Linked DNA regions of Caenorhabditis elegans. The protein of the gene in region 3 interacts with the protein of the main gene of each other region in a pairwise test. Each region holds a gene or a part of one and is shown on either strand. Other genes may lie near its edges.

Region 1 (9,298 bases), on a different chromosome or scaffold from region 3:
TTATTCTAATTTTCAGGAACTGCAAAAAATTATTGATTTTTCGGATTTTTAGGAAAAAAAAGATTTTCTCGGTGATTTTTAATGAAAAATTGCATTTTCGAGCAGTTTCATTACGAAATTCGTTCATTTGAGCCCATTCTCCTTCAATTTAGTCGGGTTTTCTCTCAAAAAACGCCGATTTTCCATCTAAAAACTGACAATTTCAAGTGTTGCAGCAGCTTCACACACAGCTTGAAGCTCCTGAGTTTCATCTCTTAAATGAGGCTGTAAAGCCCGTATTGTGTCAACGCATAGGGATGCTCGTGAGTATTTTCCGCCGATTACAGTGTTGTCGAATAGCTGAAAATTTGGGAATTTTTGATGGAAAATACTGGATTTTTCGCCAAAAACTGACCAAAATCGTGAAAAATTGGCTTTTTTTTGGAAAATTTACTGCTTTTAGTGCAAAAAATACAGAATTTCTCTGGAAAACTGCTTTTTCCTCCGGTTTTCGGCGTATTTTTTGCTGATTTTAGTGAATTTTCAGCAGAAAATACGGAAAAATGTGCAGGAAATTCGGTATTTGGAGTCAAGTTTTGACTTTTTCTCCACTTTTTCTCCTTTTTTGGTTTTTTAGCAGAAAATTTTGAATTTTTTGATGGAAAAAACTGGATTTTTAGTTAGAAAATCAAACAAAAACTTTTTCTGCTGGTTTTAGTGCATTTTCTGCGGCGAAAAATATGAAATTTTCAACAGGAAATTCGAAATTTGGAGTGAATTTTTGACTTTTTCTCCACTTTTTTCTAGTTTTAGTGTGAAAAGTGCCATTTTTCCACGCATTTTAACCGAGAAAATCGTCTTTTCCGTACATTTCTACATCTATACTGAACCAAATCGTATTCCATTCCATCAGCAGGCAATTTTGCCGCCACAACCCGTACGAATTTCTTCTTAACTTCGCCCAACGCCGTTTCTACCAGCTTTCTACTGGCGAACATTGCTGCTGAAAATACGAGAAAATTAGAGGGAAAAATGGCAAAAAAAACTAGAGAAAATGAAAATTTAGAGCCGTTGCATCATTATTATGAAATTTCAAGCTGAAAAACCGGTTTTTGAGCAAATTTTCGCCCAATTTCGAATTTTTCAGCTGAAAACTGAGCTAAAATGAGCCAAAAAACACGATTTTCAATTGAAATTTCGAGAAAAAAAAAGCTAAAAATTGAATTTTCGAATAATTTGGGAATTTTGGAGCTCCGATGCGTAGAAAACAAATTTTTGCATGAAAAATTGCAATTTTCTGCGAAAAATCAAGAGTTTTCCAGGAAATATGTCCAAATTCCGCTGAAAATTTAAATATTTTCGTAAATTCGAGAGAAATGATGCAAATTTCATAAAAATGTGCTCCAAATTGGAAATTTCACGTTTTTTTTCCGGAAAAATCGATTTTTCACCAAAAATTGAAAATTTTAAGCGAAAATTGAAGTTTTCCTACATTTCAAAGGTTTAAATTGATTTAAATTGAAAAAAAATCGAATAAAAATTGGAAAAACTGATGAATCATAAAATTGCGAAATAATAATGAGGGGGCAGGCGACCACTTGGAAATTTAAATTTACAATTCTGGAGGGGCAAAAAATGAGAAAAATCAGTTCATTTGAAACAGGAAAGCGGAAAAAATTTTAAAAATTTTTGAATAAATAAATTAAAGCAAGGCAGTATTTACACAAGAAAATTCGAAAAAGTGTGCGTCGATTTACGCAGCTCGTGTAGTCCCCGAGGAGAAGATTTTACAGTTTTTTGGCTTAAAAATGCTTGATTTTCGCTATTTTTCTATCAAAATTAACATTTAAACCGGTTATTTATAGCGTTTTAAGTGAAATTTGAGCGATTTTAAAGTTTTCACCGACAAAAAAAAACCGTGAAAATAGCGAAAATGGCTCAAAATCAACCATTTTAGCAAAAAAAAGTACTTGATTTTGAGCCATTTTCGCAATGTTCACGGTTTTTTTTTTGGCAAAAATCAATGAATTATTTTTATTTTTAACTTTAAAAACACTCAGATTTCACTTAAAAGTGCATAAATAACCGCTTTGAATGTTAATTTTCAAGTAAAAATAGCGAAAATCAAGAATTTCAGCGAAAAATCGTTTTTTTTTTCACCGAAAAAATCAGTAAAAATGCAAAAATGGGTAATAATGCTTGATTTAGAGCTATTTTCACGGGTTTTTCGCTTAAAAATCACCGCTTTGAATGTTAATTTTCAAGGAAAAAATAGCGAAAATCAAGCATTTTTAGCCAAAATCTGTAGAATCTTCTCCTCGAGGAGTACACGAGATCTGCGTAAATCGACACAAAAGAGAGCAATTAATCATCCCATTCATCATCATCAGCTCCTTCTTCACTACTTGAATCATCATTTCCCATAACTTGATCCATTCGTCTCTTCAATATCGCCGCAACATTATTCGCCTCGAGAGCAGCATTCTCGGCGGCTTCTGCCTCGGCTCTTTGCACTTTTTTCAGCTTTATTCCAGATTGAATTTGAGCCAAAAGATCACTTCGAGCATCTGGTTGTTTTGGAGCAACTGGGGAATTTGTGCCAGCAGCTTCACCGTCCGCGGATGGCTGAAAATTTCAGTTTTAGTGGGAGAAAATCGATTTTTTGATGAAAATTCGGCTATTTCTCTTGAAATTTGTCCCTAAAAAAGCTTCAAAAAAGTCCAAAAAACACAGGAAAACTACACATTTTCAGCGGGTTAGACACACATAGAGCCCTGCTGTTCCAGCGCCTTTACCTTTGGAGCCGGAGCTGCAAATGACGCTGCAGCCGAGCTTATAACCATTGGAGGTGGTGGTGGAGGTGGTGGAGGGATCTGAAAGGGATCGAGAATTGAAGAAAGAAGCGGAAAGTGGACAACAATGAGGGAAACACAAAAATGGACAAAAATTGCAAATTTTTAACTGAAAAATTCGGGGTTTTAAGCTTGGAAATTGCAGAAATATAGCTTCAAATTAATTTTATGCACTACAAGAAATCTTGGAGCTTTTCACAAATTTCCAAGCTTTTCCAAGCTGTTTCAAGCTTTTTAAGCTCATCGAAGATATTTCAAGCTCAGTCAGGCTTTTTTAGCTTTTCCAGGCTTTCGCAAGCTTTTTCGAGCTCGTCTAAGCTTTTTGACGCCTTTTCCAAGCTCTTTCAGGCTTTACAAGCTGTTTCAAGCTCGCACGAGCATTTTGAAGTTTTTCCAGGCTTTTTTAAGCTCTGTAAGCTTTTCGAAGCCACTATCGTTCTCTTTCAAGCTGTTTCAAGCTGTTTAAGCTCATCGAAGCTATTTCAAGCTCAGTCAGGCTTTTTCAAGCTTTGTCAAGCTTGTTCAAGCTCCTCCAAGCTTTTTCAAGGCGTTTCCAAGCTTTTTCAGGCTTTTCCCAACTCTTTCAGGCTTGCTCAAGCTTGGTCAAGCTTGTTCAAGCTCCTCCAAGCTTTTCCAGGTTTTTCCAGGCTTTTTCAAACTATTATAAGCTCGTTAAGCTCATTCAAGCTATTTCAAGCTCTGTCAGGCTTTTCCAAGCCTTTTCAAGCTATTACAAGTTCGTTTAAGCTCTACAAGCTTTTCCAGGCTTTTTCTTGCTCTTTCAAGCTTTTCCAAGCTTGTTCAAGCTTTCTTAAGCGTTTTGGAATCTTTTCCTGTCTTTTGCAGGCCTTTTCAAGCCTTTTCCAGGGTTTTCCAAACGTTTTCAAGCCATTTCAAGGTTCTCCAAGCTTGTTCACTATTTTTTCAAGCTCTTTAAGCTTCTCCAAGCTAGTTCAAGCTCTGTCAGGCTTTCCAAACTTGTTCAAGCTTTATCGTTCTCTTTCAAGTTCTTCCAAGCTAGTTCAAGCTCTGTCAGGCTTTTCCAAGCTTTTCCAAACGGTTTCAAGCCGTTTCAAGCCTTTCTAATAGAGTTCAACCAATTTTTCGTGATTTCGTGGCCCAAATGAACAAATTAAAGCGAAAAAGCGAGATTTTGCCTGAAAAAGGCTTAAGGCTTCTAAACGCTCATAATAACTTAGAATAATAGAGACTTTTCACATTTTCTAGTTTTTTCAAGCTTTTCCAAGCTTTTTCGTCGTGAAAACGGACAATTTAAAGCAAAAACGCAAGCTTTTTTCCTCGCAAAAACCAAGATTTTACTCCAAAATCTCCAAATTCTCTCGAGCTCCAAAACGTACATTAGTCGGCGGAGCAGCACTCGGCTCGACAAACTGTATCGTCGACGGAGCTTCTGCTGGTAACTGATGTACAATTGATGTATTCATGAGAAGCGGTGGTGGTGGTGGTGGAAGATCATCATCATCATCATCAATCGATAAAATTGACATATCCGGTGGTGGGAGGTGATCCAGATTCACTGGCGGCGGAGCTTCAGTCGGACGTTTAACATTCGGAGATCCACGAGCTGCTGCTGGAGCACCACCTCGTTGTTGGCTCGGATGCACATTTTGTTGAGGATGATGGTGCATTGTCATTCCGATTGGGGCAACCATGTTGGAGGGGTGCTGAATTTATCAAAAATTGGGAGATTTTCAGTGGAAAAAATCGTTTTTTTCTTCAAAATTACTCCCAGAGAAGGATATTTGGGCTTAATTATCGATTTTTCAGAGTTTTTTTGTCATTTGGAGCATGAAATTTCTTAAAAATTCACTGAAAACTTCCAAAAAACTCGAGTTTTCAGCCTCAAAGACAAGCCAAAATCAATGAAAAACGTTTTTCAACAGAAATGTTTCACTTTTTCACTAAAAATATGCTGAAATTGATAAGTTTTTTTGGAAAAATCCCTAGAAACCGTACAAATTAATTATAAAAACCCTATAAAATCGAATTTTTCAACGAAATCCTCTAGAATCCATAACTTTTCAGCTTCAAAATTATTTGTTCCCATTGAAACTTTCGACTTTATAGGATTTTTATAGTTAATTTGTAGGGTTTCTAGCGATTTTTCCAAAAAAAAAATTATCAATTTTCGCATATTTTTAATGAAAAAGTGGCACTTTTCTGTTGAAAAATTATTTTTTCTAAGGAATTTCCCACTAATTTCATTGATTTTCGCTTGTTTTTCGGTGAAAACTCGGCTTTTTGGAAGTTTCTAGTGAATTTTTATGAAATTTCAAGCCCCAAATGGCTAAAAAACCCAAATATTGGCCCAAAATAGAGAATTTTTGCCTTCTCGGGGAGCACAAGAGCTGTGTAAGCGCTGAAATCTCGTTGAAAAGTTGATTTTCTTTTTAAACAATAGAAAATTCACTTTTTCAGCAAAAAACTCGATTTTTTTTCAAATTTTTGGGCTCAATTATCGATTTTTTCCGATTTTCAACGGTAAAAAATCATTTGAAGCGGAAAAGCTGGGACTTCGTTGAAAAATTCGATTTCATAGTTTTTTTGAAGTTAATTTGTAGGGTTTCTAGCGATTTTTCCAAAAACTTATCAATCTTCGCAGATTTTAATGAAAAAGTGACTTTTTCTCATTGATTTTGGCTTGTTTTTTGGCGAAAAAGTGCATTTTTAGGAAATTTCATGCTCCAAATTACTGGAAACCCATAATTTTGCCCCAAAATAGAACATTTTGGCCTGCTCGGGGAGCACAAGAGCTGTGTAAGCGCTGAAATCTCGTTGAAAAGTTGATTTTCTTTTTAAACAATAGAAAATTCACTTTTTCAGCAAAAAACTCGATTTTTTTCAAATTTTTGGGCTCAATTATCGATTTTTTCCGATTTTCAACGGTTTGGAGATTTTCTCTTCAAAAAATCGAAAAATCTCGCGAAAATCTACCTGATTTTTAAAGTTAAGCTGAAGCCCGAGAGCCTGCGGAGCCTGATATTCCTCCGGGAACGAGAAAACTTCATTCTGCTGATTAATCCGTGATCCACTAATCTGTCGATTCCTATGCTGCATATCATTATAGGCCGTCGTGCCGAGAGGGCCTTGTCCAGGCTGCTTCCGCCGCTTTTTCGGGCTTTTACTCCCGTCGTTCGGGCTTTTTACCCGTCTGGGCCGTTCGGCAACCTCTTTTAGTGTCTCCTTTTTCCATAAATCGAAGAAAAACGAGGGATTTGTGTAGAGAGAGAGCGCAGGGATTTCAGAGTCTCTATACGGATTTAGAGCATCAAGATCCGGCGGTGGATCACATTTTGCATATATTTCAGTCAATGCTGTAGGTAAAGTGCTTCTATCCAGAATATGTTGATCTACAAGCATTGAACTTTTGAATGCTTTTCGCATATTCGCTTCATTCAACGTTGCTTGATCGGAATTTGAATCCAAATCTTCAACTTTCTTGTGCAATCTATCAATTCTCTGTTGAAGAGTGTTCGATTTGTGATTTATTATCATTGCGTCGTGATAAATCTCTCCGAAGATGTTCTCAGCGTGCTTACTGCAAAAAAAAATCGATAAAATTCCAGTTTTCCGACCTAATTTCCCACCTCAACGAGCTCAATTGTCGTACTAAATTGGCGATTGTCCCATTAGCAGTACATTGAAGCTCATCACGATGGATTGTTGATGGAATTGTGCCTCTGCTGAGGTTTACCGGTGATACCGCCCGTTTTGTTAGAGGCATTGCTGAAAATGTGCAGAAATTGCGGGATTATGTGGGTGGAAATTGCGAGAAAGCGTTAGAATTCACAGAAGATGACTTGAAATCGAAAAAAAATCACTTTCTTCCCTGAATAATATGTAAAAATCCATGGATTTAATGGAAATTGGCACGAAAATCGTGAAAAAAATTAGTTAAACATAAAAATTCACTGGAAACTTCATAAAAGCGAGCAGCCAAAATCAATGAAATTAGTTGGAAAATTCCACGAAAAACTCTAATGTTAATGGTAAACACGAAAATGCACTGGAAAAATTATAAAATTGAGTTTTTTAAACAGAAAAGCCACTTTTTTAATAAAATTATGCTGAAATTGGTAACTTTACCGGGAAAAATCGCTAGAAAACATATAAAATTGCTTCATTTACATGCTAAACCCACAAATTCACTGAAAAACTTATAAAACCTAATTTTCCAACGAAATATCATAAAATACATAGTTTTTCAGCTTCAAAATTATTATTTCTGTCAGAAAATGTTTTTTTTCATCGGAAAAACTGCAAAAAACGAGGAAAAACCAATAAAATCTCATGTTTTTCAATTAAAATATCATTAATCCAGAAATGCGCCAAGGTGCACCCGGGATGCGTCAGCAAACACTCACGAGAAGTGCGCAAGCGAGCGTCTGCACTCTCTCGAATACATACAGTGTCTCGCTGTGATTCATCGGAAATATTTTCATTTCCGGAAATGTTTTATATTTATTTAAATATTAATTTTTTTCGGTCTAAAAAATGATATACAAAACAAAAAATCGATACAGGAAAATGCGAAAATAGAATGAGATTGAAATTTCAATATTTACTGTTCAAAATATTCAAAATATCGTGAAATGGCGAGGTTTCGGAGAGATGGTCCTTTTTATTTATCAATGAAATTGTTCTAATTCTGAGAAAAATAACAAAATATAGCTAAATTCTCAATTTTCGCCAACTTGGTTGTGTCACAGAAGCTAAAATTCATTTCGAATACCGAGCCCGTACAGTAGTCATTTAAAGAATTACTGTAGTTTTCGCTACGAGGTATATTTCGCGTCAAATTTGTTACGTAATAAGCATTTCACTTTCCCAACAATTGCCGATTTCTTCTCCAAAATATCCCTCCCGTAAACCTACACAAAATCGACCGTAGTGCGGCACGTTCGCTGCGAGACCCGCCGCGCGTTTGGCCTCAATCTTTTTAGGACTGCCAAATTCGATCGAACATTTTTAGTCTGTCTTCCACGCGGAAACACACTCGTTTTTCTTCAAAAAAAAATCTATCATGGCTTCCCAAGGATTCTCCGTCTACGGTAAGTATAGTAATAAATCGGTGGTGAAAATTAAATTTAAATTTGTACAAATTTTGAATATGATACAAAATTCTCAAAACTTCTGAAACTTTCTCACACTTTTCTTCGATGAACTTTTCTTCGACTTGCAGAAAGTATCGATTTCTGATAATTGTTAGCGTTTTCCGATCGGCCTTCGTTCTCTATGGTTCATTCGTGTTCCTTGACAACAAATCCCGATATTTCAGGTAGTCCCCTTCCACGTGTATAAGTATAACTGAGTCTACTAACTGAGTACCCGGGACCCCACACGGATCGCCACACAATTCTGGAAATGGAGACGCCGTTCGACCACAAAAAGTATGGGTGAAGAGACTTTTCGCACTGTCATGGTCTCCGTAGTCTAGGACTAGGATAGGGTGCATTTGCTCTGTAACAGTGCATTGTGAGAGTTTGTAACTTTCTATATATAGGCCAAAACCTACTATTACCCCCGTTTTGCTAATCGATTTTTTTCTAGTTGGAAACGTTCCATACCAAGGAACTGAGGAGGAGATCGGAAACTACTTCGCCGCCGTCGGACATGTTAACAACGTCAGGTAAGAGAACTCAGAAACTCAGAAACTCGGAAACTTTCGATTAAAACCTTGTCAAAACTAATCAATGTCTTCCAGAATCGTGTACGATCGTGAAACCGGACGCCCACGCGGTTTCGCATTCGTCGAGTTCTCCGAGGAAGCCGGAGCTCAAAGAGCCGTCGAACAACTTAACGGAGTTGCCTTCAATGGACGCAACCTTCGTGTCAACTACGCCAACAAGTAAACTGACAACGCCGCCGAGTGACTCAAAGAGATTGCACTTGTGATATACATTCCACCAAAAATTCTATCTTCGTGCATGTTTTTCACCATCTACACTTAAATAATAAATCTTTTTGAAAACTGAAAACTTCGAGCATTTTTTCACAGAGTGCAGGTTTACGGCTCAGTCTTAGGCTTAGGCTTAGGCTTAAGCATAGGCTGGGGCTCAGGCTTCGGCTTTTAGACCTAAAAAAAGATCGTTGCACCATGAGCAAAGTATTATAAAGAAAATTGACTTCAAAGAAACTGACACGTGGTGTCAAAGTGTCCCATTTTGGTTTGATCTTCGAAAAATGAGGGAAAAGAGACGCAGACTTTTCAACTGACGTCACACTTTCCTGGGGAGAAAATTCCCGCATTTTTTGTAGATCAAACCGCAATGAGACAGCCTGACTCCACAGATCCCATCTGAAAACTCATGAATTTAAATAATGATGCATACTTTTACTCTGTTCTGGCTTTGCATCACTTTGAGAGCCTTTTCAAGCTTTTCAGATAAATATTTCCTTGATTGTGCTTGCCTACGAGCCTACGTGCATACACAGAGATTTCGTTC
Region 2 (5,757 bases), on a different chromosome or scaffold from region 3:
ATAAATTCAACAGGTACTGCAAAAAGAGATTGAAAGTTTGCGAGGAGGACAGCGGTTATCAGCATTCCTTGTTGCTTTCGGCATTTACTACAAACACCTGTCCAGAGTCCGATGATTGCCTGAAATCGAAAATTTAAAATTGATATTACGCAGACGCAAAAGTTCGCGACAAAAGTACGGTACCGGTCTCGAGGCGACAAATTTTTCTTTTGTCGAATGAAACGAATGAAGATTTCTGCAGAATTTTAATTGTTGAAATATAGGTGTTAATTTTGTAGTGCTAAATTGATAAATATTTTTTTTTATCAAATAACTAATTAAAATCCATAAAAATTCGGCAGAAATGAGAGTTTGAAATTACAGTACTCCTTGAGGGCGCACACATTTTCTTATCTAACAAAAAGTTGTCGTGTCGAGACCGGTTACAGTAGTTTTCTTGCAAAATTATCCCCTCCTTACCGCTTCCCGATTGTTGGAAGATCCGTTAGAAGGATCAGCGAGGTCGAAAACTGCATTCGTTTCGATCGATTGAATGAATGTAACAAATTTGTGAAGTTTCCGACGTCGTGAAGTTGGAAGCGAAAGAAGTACCAATTGAATTGCTTCGATCAACCATTGCTCTCGGATTTCGTAGGATTTTTCGTCTGAAATTATAATTTTAAGTAAAAATCGTGAAACTGTAATAAAAATAAAATTCTTTACCTTGTATTTCCAAATTCACTCTATTATCAAATGGTGATAACGCACGTCGTCGATACTTTGAAGCTCGAATTCCGCATGCTGGAAGATCACGGGAGAATCCATCGACCATCAATCCAGCCTCCTCAATACTAGACGCAGACGAAGAAATCATCACTTTCGACCATCGCCTTGCAGGCCCATTGTCAAGCATTGCCGCGAAGCTATCGATTTTGCAGAGGAGATTAACAATAAGAGAGCATTCATCGAATTGAAGAGGAGCATTCAAGTCTTCGAGACGATTGACTAGAGTTATGAAAATCCGATTGACGTTGTATTCCAACCCTGTGTCCATTTTTTTATGCGTGACGAAGGGATATCGAACAAGATAATCCATGAATTGAATAACAGTTTGGGGATAATCGGGCTGCAGTCCCTGACATCTCGATTTGACGATTCCATCAGCATGATCTATTTCAATCATGTTCCACTGAATATCGTATCCATCGACTTTAGATGCCCATTCACAGGGAAGAGTGCGATCGTAAATTTGTTCCAATCGTCCAAGCAGCTCTGTTTTCCAAAATGAGCATTCGTTGTTTGCCTGGACAGAGTCTGCAACTGGAACAACCGACGATCTTCTCATGATGGATTCGTACATTCTTCCACGCGATAACAATGCTGGATTTGATCCTGCGATGCTTGTCCGATGATTTTGATATCTGCTAGGAACTGCAGGCAACGGTCCTTGTGGATGCATAAAGACGACGTCTTTCGGGGCTTCTCGAATTGGCGGAGTGGTTACTTTCTGACTACGAAGAGCAGCTTCAGCTTTTTCTTGTTCCAAAACACAATGATTTCGATCAAGGGATGCTGAACGACGGGTTGGTTGATTGACTTTCGTGTGATTTCGTCTTGATTTGAAAAACGGTAACCAATCATAAACCTTCTCTTTCATCTCAGAAACTTCTCGTTTTTCAGTATATTCTTCTGTACAGATACTTTCAAGTGATCTGTTCAAAATCTTCGGAGTTCGTTGTTTCTTCGGGATTTCATCGTCTTTATGATCATCGAAACCGTGATTCTCAACGCCGCCTGAAGAATTATCGATGCCTGCTTTGTCAATGTTGCCATTAGATCGCGATAATCTTCGTGGGAGCCTTGCCTTTGGTGGCCGGTGCATTGTCGCGGCAGGAGAGGCAGGTTGAGCAACTCTGGAAATATATTTTATAGCACAGTTTAAAATGATTATTTGGCATACTTTGCACTTTTGCGAGCACCACTGAAAGACGCTGATCGACGTGATCGGGGCTTGGGATGCTTCAACTCATCCAAAGTCTTCATGAACAAATATATTCTCGATTCACTGAATGGCCTCCTTTGCTTGACTTTCTTCGGGAAGGCTTCTGAAATCACGTTCATGTCCATCATGAACTCCAGGAACTTCTGCATCTTGTCTCGTTCCGGAACATTGTTAGGGATGATTCGTGGCATTTCAATCATCAGAAAATCCACAGCTTCTTTCCCGCTGAAACTGTTTTCCGCAGTGGCCAATCCTCTTCTGTTCGTTTTGAGTGATAAGTTTGAACGAAAATGCCATAGAATTTCGTCGAACTGAAAATCAGAATAAAATTTCAAAAGACAAATGTGAAACATTTTAATACCAGATGCGTCGCCTTGAACTTCTCCGATGAGTAGTCGGCAGACATCACGGCAAGACGGCCTAAAACTTGAATTTTGATGGTTTATTGATAAATTTAAGAACTTCTTAAAAGAAAACGAGATTTCATCACGAAAAAAAGCAAGAATGAGGAAAAATTTCTGGAAACTTCCTAAAAATTGCTGAAACGAGTGAAGTTTTGGCGCCGAAGTTTTGTTTACGGACCAAACACACGAAAACACGACTTGTCACACAACTTATTAGCTACAGTAACCCATTCTGCTTTGAAAATTTCTCTTTTTAATTAAAAATTCCTCGATTCAGATGTTTTTTTTTTCTCAAAGTGTTTCTAATAATTATATTTTCCTCGAAATCCACACTATTTTACATAAAACAAATCATCTTATTCTGCTCTTTTCGCCGTTTACACCATCTGTCCTTCTCCAATGACTCCTTCTCTGCGTCTCTTTCACTCTCTCGCCGCCCTCTTTTTCTCTGTCGTCTCTCACTTCGACGTACTTTCTCTCGTGTTGTTGTTCCCGTACTTTTGTGTGTTCCACTGTTTGTGAGATGACGGCTAGTTGCCTGGTACTGGATTCTCACCAGTTTTAATTGATTTTTCATCAAATTTTCTTTAAAAACTGATTAAACTTTGTGATTTTTATCGTATTTTTACAGATTTTCAGTTCAAAATGTCCGATGAGAAGTCTACCACACCAACCGCTCAACTCGACGCTCCAGCCGATGGAAATATGAATGATTTGACGTCGTTGGTACGTAAATACTTGAAAAAAATTGTCAATTTTCTAAAAAATCCTAAAACTCAGATACAAGGAGTTCTGCAACAGACACAGGATCGATTCCAGCACATGTCGGATCAGATTATTCGGCGAATCGATGATATGACAACGAGAATCGATGATTTGGAGAAGAATATCAACGATTTGCTGCAATCGAACCAAGTTGAACATCCGCCAAGCGCTCAATAAGATTGGTACGGAATGAGAAAAATGGGAAACATTCTCAAAAATTTCGGTCGATGTTTTGACCACTCGTTATTTTTGAAAAACAGTGTTGTTTTTGATGTCGACTTTGAAATTTCAAAAAAAAACAATAATATGGGCCGTGGGACCCAATTAGAAATACAGTAAAAAACGCTCTTTGGCCGAATATTTTATAATTTTCATGTATGAAGTCAATCCTTTTATTCCTTCTTAACTTTAGTTTGAAATATATTTAGATTTCCTAGCGCCTTTCCAATCGATTTACCACGTGGTAATCAGGCCGATTGCACCGTTATTCCAAGACTTTATCATTAAAAATTAGTATAAAAATATAGAACTTCACCTATTAATTTTGGCTGAAAAATTCGCCGAAGAGCTCAAAAATGGTCTGAAAGATGCCAAATTTCCACTAAAAAATCAATTTGTAGAGATTATTAATAACTAATCTCTCTTCAATTTCTATTTTTTCCAGCTCTACACTCTTCCCAAATGAATCATCGTCGCTTCCTTCTTCATCATCATCATAATTCCAATTCGTTTTGTGTGCTTCTCTGCGTCTCTCCTACATACATATACTCTTTTCACGTCTTCTTCTTCTTCTTTTTCTACTGATTATGCACGTGTTGAGAGGATTCATGACTACTATGTTGTGCCTCCTGCTTTTAATCTCTTATTCAATAACTTTTGTTGCATTTTATTACGATTTTCGGAATTATTTTATTTATATGTGAAAACACAAATTTTGCCAAAAATTCAAATTTTTGTGCATTTTTAAAAAAAATTTTCAATATGAAACTATTCATCTTACTTTTTCTTCTTCTTCCCTTGAATTTTTTCTCATACTAAATGTTGATTTCTCACAGTTTTTACTAACTATTTCGCATCCGGATTTTCAGATAAAAAACATATAATTTCAGAAATGGGAGCTCAAAATTCGAAGCGAAAAGATCTAAAAAATATTAACGATGAGGATTATGCACATTTTATGGAAAAACTCAAAAAACACACAGATGGAAAGGACAAAATGACGCGAGACCAGTTTGTGGTGAATTAATTTTTAGAAGGAAAATACATTTTAATATAAAATTTTCAAATTCCAGGCAATGTTCATACCGATTCTGGGTGAATATTCATCACAATTCTACTTTCGTTTGGTAAAAAACGAGCCGCAGGGCGTTTTGCTCGCTAAAACAATCCTAAAATGTATTGATACTGGACTGGGACATTTCGATCAGCTCGCCGATATGCTCAGATTCTGTTTTGGAGATCAAAAAGATCAGGTTTCGAATTTATTAATTTAAAGAAAAACTTCTTTTTTTTTTGTCAGATAATGCGAAATGTTGTGAAAATCTTCTGTGAAGGAAACAAATTCACCCGAGAGGATCAGGTCCGTCTCTACGATTATTTCGAAACAGAAAATACAAAACCAGTGAGCGAACTGGAAAGCTTTTTCTCAATGTGCCCACTGTTCGCCTATTGTGCTTCGTTCATTTTCCAACGACTTTTGGATAAAACTGGAGACTCGAAAATGCCAATTCTCTCGGACAAGACTCATTTAATGGGAAATATCGATCAATTAGTGCTCAACTCGCACCTTCCATTCGATCGACGCAAAAATTGGACACTTTTATATTCAAACATGAAACACGGGCAAAGTTTCTCACAATTGGTTAAATGTATTAATGGAGAAGGTCCTTGTATGATTGTGATCAGATCAATGAAAGGACGACGATTTGGGTTTTTCGCCTCGCAAGGTACACAAGAAATGTTGTGTCGATTTACGCAGCTCGTGTACTCCTCGAGAAGAATTTATACCTTATGATTTGCAGAAGATTTTACAGATTTTACTTTTTTTGCAGATTTTCTAGATTTCAGATCTTTCTTTTTGTAGACTGAAACCGAGAAATTGTAGTTTTACAATAGCAAATACATTTTCAAAAATGCTATAAATTATAGATAAATTGATGATTCCAGTTTTAAATATCAAAAAAATTGACAAACAGTTTCAAAAATTGAACATTTCATCCAAAAACTGTAAAATCTTCCTCCACGAGGAATACACGAACTGCGTAAATCCACACATGGCTGTGTTACAAGTTTCGCAGTAATTCTTCATTTTTTCAATTATGATAAAGCAACGGAATTCTAGCAGATACTATTTGAGTACCAATTTTCTCTAAAAATTGAAAATTTTTTAGGTTTTCTCGCGGGACCCCAATACCGTGGCACGGCCGAGTGTTTCCTCTTCCAGCTGGCTCCGAAAATTGCAACTTTTGATGCGACCGGGCGGACTGAGAATTACGTGTACCTAAACTACCAGCAACAGCAACATCCGAATGGATTGGTGAGTATATCCCGCCATGGATCATTCAGTATCTAGAGAACCAGTTTTACGATTTTTAAGTGTGAAATTTT
Region 3 (2,868 bases):
TGATGAAAAATCTGCCGAATCAGAATCTGAATCGTCCAAATAATTCAAAATTGGAGGTTTTTCCTTCTTCTCGCTTTTCCGACGTTTCTCTTTCGACTTTGGTGTAACTTCCACGTCATCTTCTGAAAAACTGCCGATAGTCTAATCATTTATTCGAACGGTCGCTCACCTTGTTTTTCCCTTTTATTTTTCTTTTTCTTCCCAGGACGTTCACCTTTCATAAGTGCAAGAGCGACAGGAGCCTAAATTTCAAATAAAGTTTCCATGTGATATTAATTTAATAACTTACAGATTTCATGATGGCATTTTTGAGTAGTTCACCCATGGCTGGGCTCACAAGTTCTGCTTGTGGCGTAGTTACATTTGAATGTGATTTCATTTTGTCTGAAAGGGAAATTAGTATGTATATTATATCAATTTTAAAAAAATGAATAGAAGTATATCATAATCGTTAAAACGAGTTAACAGTGTAGTACATCATATTCCGAAAATTAAAAAATAATGTTTTATACATTTTATGAACCCGTAAAAATATACAAAAAATAAATTAATCAGAGTCAGAGAAGGATGCCGTAGATTCTCCAGAAGATTCATAATTCCGTGAAGTCTGTGCCTGTGGACGAGATGGTTCATCACCGCGTTTCAAAATTGATGGGTCGACGCCTTCGGATTTCATTTTCTGTATTACACCAGCTTCAAGCACTCCCTAAAAAAAATTACAGTATTATTAAAGCAATTTCAAGTGGATAAACTCACCAATTTCAGCATTTTGAAATATTTACTATAAGCCGGGTCGTCTTTGATAAGAACCGTCGTAGTATGTTCTTCTGGTTTCTCTTCCACTGTTTCCTCCACGATTTGTGAAGAGCTGGGATTCGATTCGTGAATTTCGTCTATTTCTGGTGCTGATGATGGTGTGGCGGTGGTTGATTTATCCTCCAAACTCATTCCTGCCAATTTCGATTCCATCAAGCGTAACTTTCGATCGGCAGTGTCTAAACTCTGCTCTGCCTTTTCCAAAATGTCTTCCATTTTATTTCCGAAATTATTGAGCATTTCTGTCATTTTCATGATGAGACAGTTGAATGTTACTGCTGTACGGTGATGATCGATCGGAGGAACCTTAAAAAATTTAGCTTTAAAGTTTTATGATGAGATTTTAAGATATTACCTTGTTCAAATCGATTGCAGGTTTGGTTCTGGAGCTCGCATTCATTGCTGGTGATCTAAAAATTAATTAATGATGCAATTAATTACAAGAAATGGAAATATGAAAAAGGCACAAACCATATAAGTTAGATTCAAAGTAAATTAATTAGATTAATTTGCGAAAAATACTAGAATTTATGATAAATTTAGAAATCAAAATAGGATTGACGGATAAATATGTGCATGAACTAAATAAAAAATCACAAAACGGCAATGGAATTTTGATATTGCGAGAAGAAAGTGAGATAAAGCCTTCAAGACTTTTTGGGAAGGGCGATAGGGCAACAGATTCAAGAAGAGAATAAAAATTTACAAATTAATTATTTTGGTAGATCAACTACGCGGATTTCTTCAATCGGCTCAATTTGATCAATATGACCAATATTTTGATTATGGCGGGGCGTACTTTGAAGTGAGCTATCACTGCTTGGAACGGGAGATCTGTCGAGCACTGAGCCAAGATTAAGAGGAGGAAGACGTTCGTCGGGAGTTAGAATTTCATTAAGCGTTTCAACCATTGGCACAATATCTTCAAGAATTATCTGAAAATTAATTTTTGATAAACGGAGCAAGTTTTTTGAGCAAAAATGTAAGGTGCAACATTTTAAAAATCAATTTTGGTATGATGCATTAAATATTGTTTCTTTTTCTAATTCGCACCTGAATACTACAGATGTCATCGTGCAATTGATTAAGTCCGCTCAATGCAGCCATAAAACCGTCATGTTGTTCTTTATGAGCTCTTGTTTCTTCAATAAGTCTGATCATTTTCGCTTCAACACTCTTGCAAGTTGCTGGAATTTTAGCTTGATCTGCTGCCACTGCTTTCGCATTAACGGCAAAATGTTCTTGTAATCGTGTTGCTAGTCTGAATATGTGACTTTAAAACTTTGAATAAAAGGAATAAATCTTACCGAAAAAAGGGCCGCGAACTGATTTTTTGATGAGTGTAAGAAGCTCCTTGATTCGTTTGTGGATCTCGTTTGCCTATTACGGCTGGAATCACCGGCAAAAAACGGGGAATTTCGGTGAATCTTTTGTAAATTTCATCATCTTCGAGTTTTTCTTGAGGAATATTGCCATCTTTGACCGTGATAATGCCTTTTGATCGTTTAGTACTGGCTCGAGTGAGAAATGAAAAAGACGACTGTTGATTTTGAGGATTAGATGATGTGCCCGCTGTTGACGAGCTTTGTTCGTTTCCCATCTGAAAATTTGTGTAAGAAGTTAAAAAATTACATCAACTTTCACAAACCTTGATTTAATTTTTTGTACTATTGATGGTTGGTCCCATTTGAATTTGATCCAAACCAGTCTCGTTCCAGGTAGTGTTTGGGTCGGCGGGCTGACGAGCAATGGTGGGAATTGCGTCGGTTTCGATATCTGGCTCAAACTCGCGCGGAATTTGAATCTCGGTCTAAAAATGAATAATTTTAATTTCAATACTTACGGGTTTTACACTTTAATTATTCGAAAAGCTTGTCACAAACCTTTGGCAGACGCTGGAATATCCACTCTTTGTCCCACTCTAAAAATGTGTGATCAAGTCGAACTTCTGATGGGACGAACGACATACGATGGCTTTCTCCGAAGTTTCCTTATCCTGTAATCAATAATTTTATGTATTTTTAATCGGAAACGTTTAAAATAAATGGAAAA

The links. The genes of interacting proteins can lie anywhere in the genome.
Region 1: the proteins of ddl-1 (region 3) and wve-1 interact in a two-hybrid assay, tested with the Caenorhabditis elegans proteins (2 studies listed by BioGRID).
Region 2: the proteins of ddl-1 (region 3) and hsb-1 interact in a two-hybrid assay, tested with the Caenorhabditis elegans proteins (2 studies listed by BioGRID).

The regions. Positions count from the first base shown.
Region 1 is NC_003279.8:11,922,932-11,932,229, forward strand, and holds wve-1 (Wiskott-Aldrich syndrome protein family member), read right to left. Parts: upstream 6,586-9,298; 5' UTR 6,577-6,585; coding exon 6,440-6,576; intron 6,391-6,439; coding exon 5,787-6,390; intron 4,517-5,786; coding exon 4,190-4,516; intron 2,853-4,189; coding exon 2,775-2,852; intron 2,605-2,774; coding exon 2,344-2,604; 3' UTR 1,610-2,343; downstream 1-1,609. Other genes in the region: fdps-1 (Farnesyl pyrophosphate synthase), read right to left, coding at 199-339, 849-977; R06C1.4 (RRM domain-containing protein), read left to right, coding at 7,876-7,903, 8,403-8,481, 8,557-8,704.
Region 2 is NC_003282.8:12,564,486-12,570,242, reverse strand, and holds hsb-1 (Heat shock factor-binding protein 1), read left to right. Parts: upstream 1-3,016; 5' UTR 3,017-3,030; coding exon 3,031-3,111; intron 3,112-3,165; coding exon 3,166-3,327; 3' UTR 3,328-3,332; intron 3,333-3,814; 3' UTR 3,815-4,148; downstream 4,149-5,757. Other genes in the region: Protein let-99, read right to left, coding at 1-119, 460-644, 703-1,892, 1,940-2,292, 2,343-2,387; eak-7 (MTOR-associated protein MEAK7), read left to right, coding at 4,262-4,387, 4,443-4,622, 4,670-5,096, 5,541-5,686.
Region 3 is NC_003280.10:5,646,659-5,649,526, forward strand, and holds ddl-1 (WASH complex subunit homolog 3), read right to left. Parts: upstream 1,227-2,868; 5' UTR 1,217-1,226; coding exon 1,172-1,216; intron 1,123-1,171; coding exon 757-1,122; intron 707-756; coding exon 548-706; 3' UTR 501-547; downstream 1-500. Other genes in the region: F59E12.9 (TFIIS central domain-containing protein), read right to left, coding at 1-122, 170-242, 290-379; sam-4 (BLOC-1-related complex subunit 5), read right to left, coding at 1,530-1,751, 1,870-2,077, 2,124-2,416; F59E12.17 (Anaphase-promoting complex subunit 13), read right to left, coding at 2,471-2,626, 2,700-2,783. UniProt on the Caenorhabditis elegans protein: Acts as a component of the WASH core complex that functions as a nucleation-promoting factor (NPF) at the surface of endosomes, where it recruits and activates the Arp2/3 complex to induce actin polymerization, playing a key role in the fission of tubules that serve as transport intermediates during endosome sorting.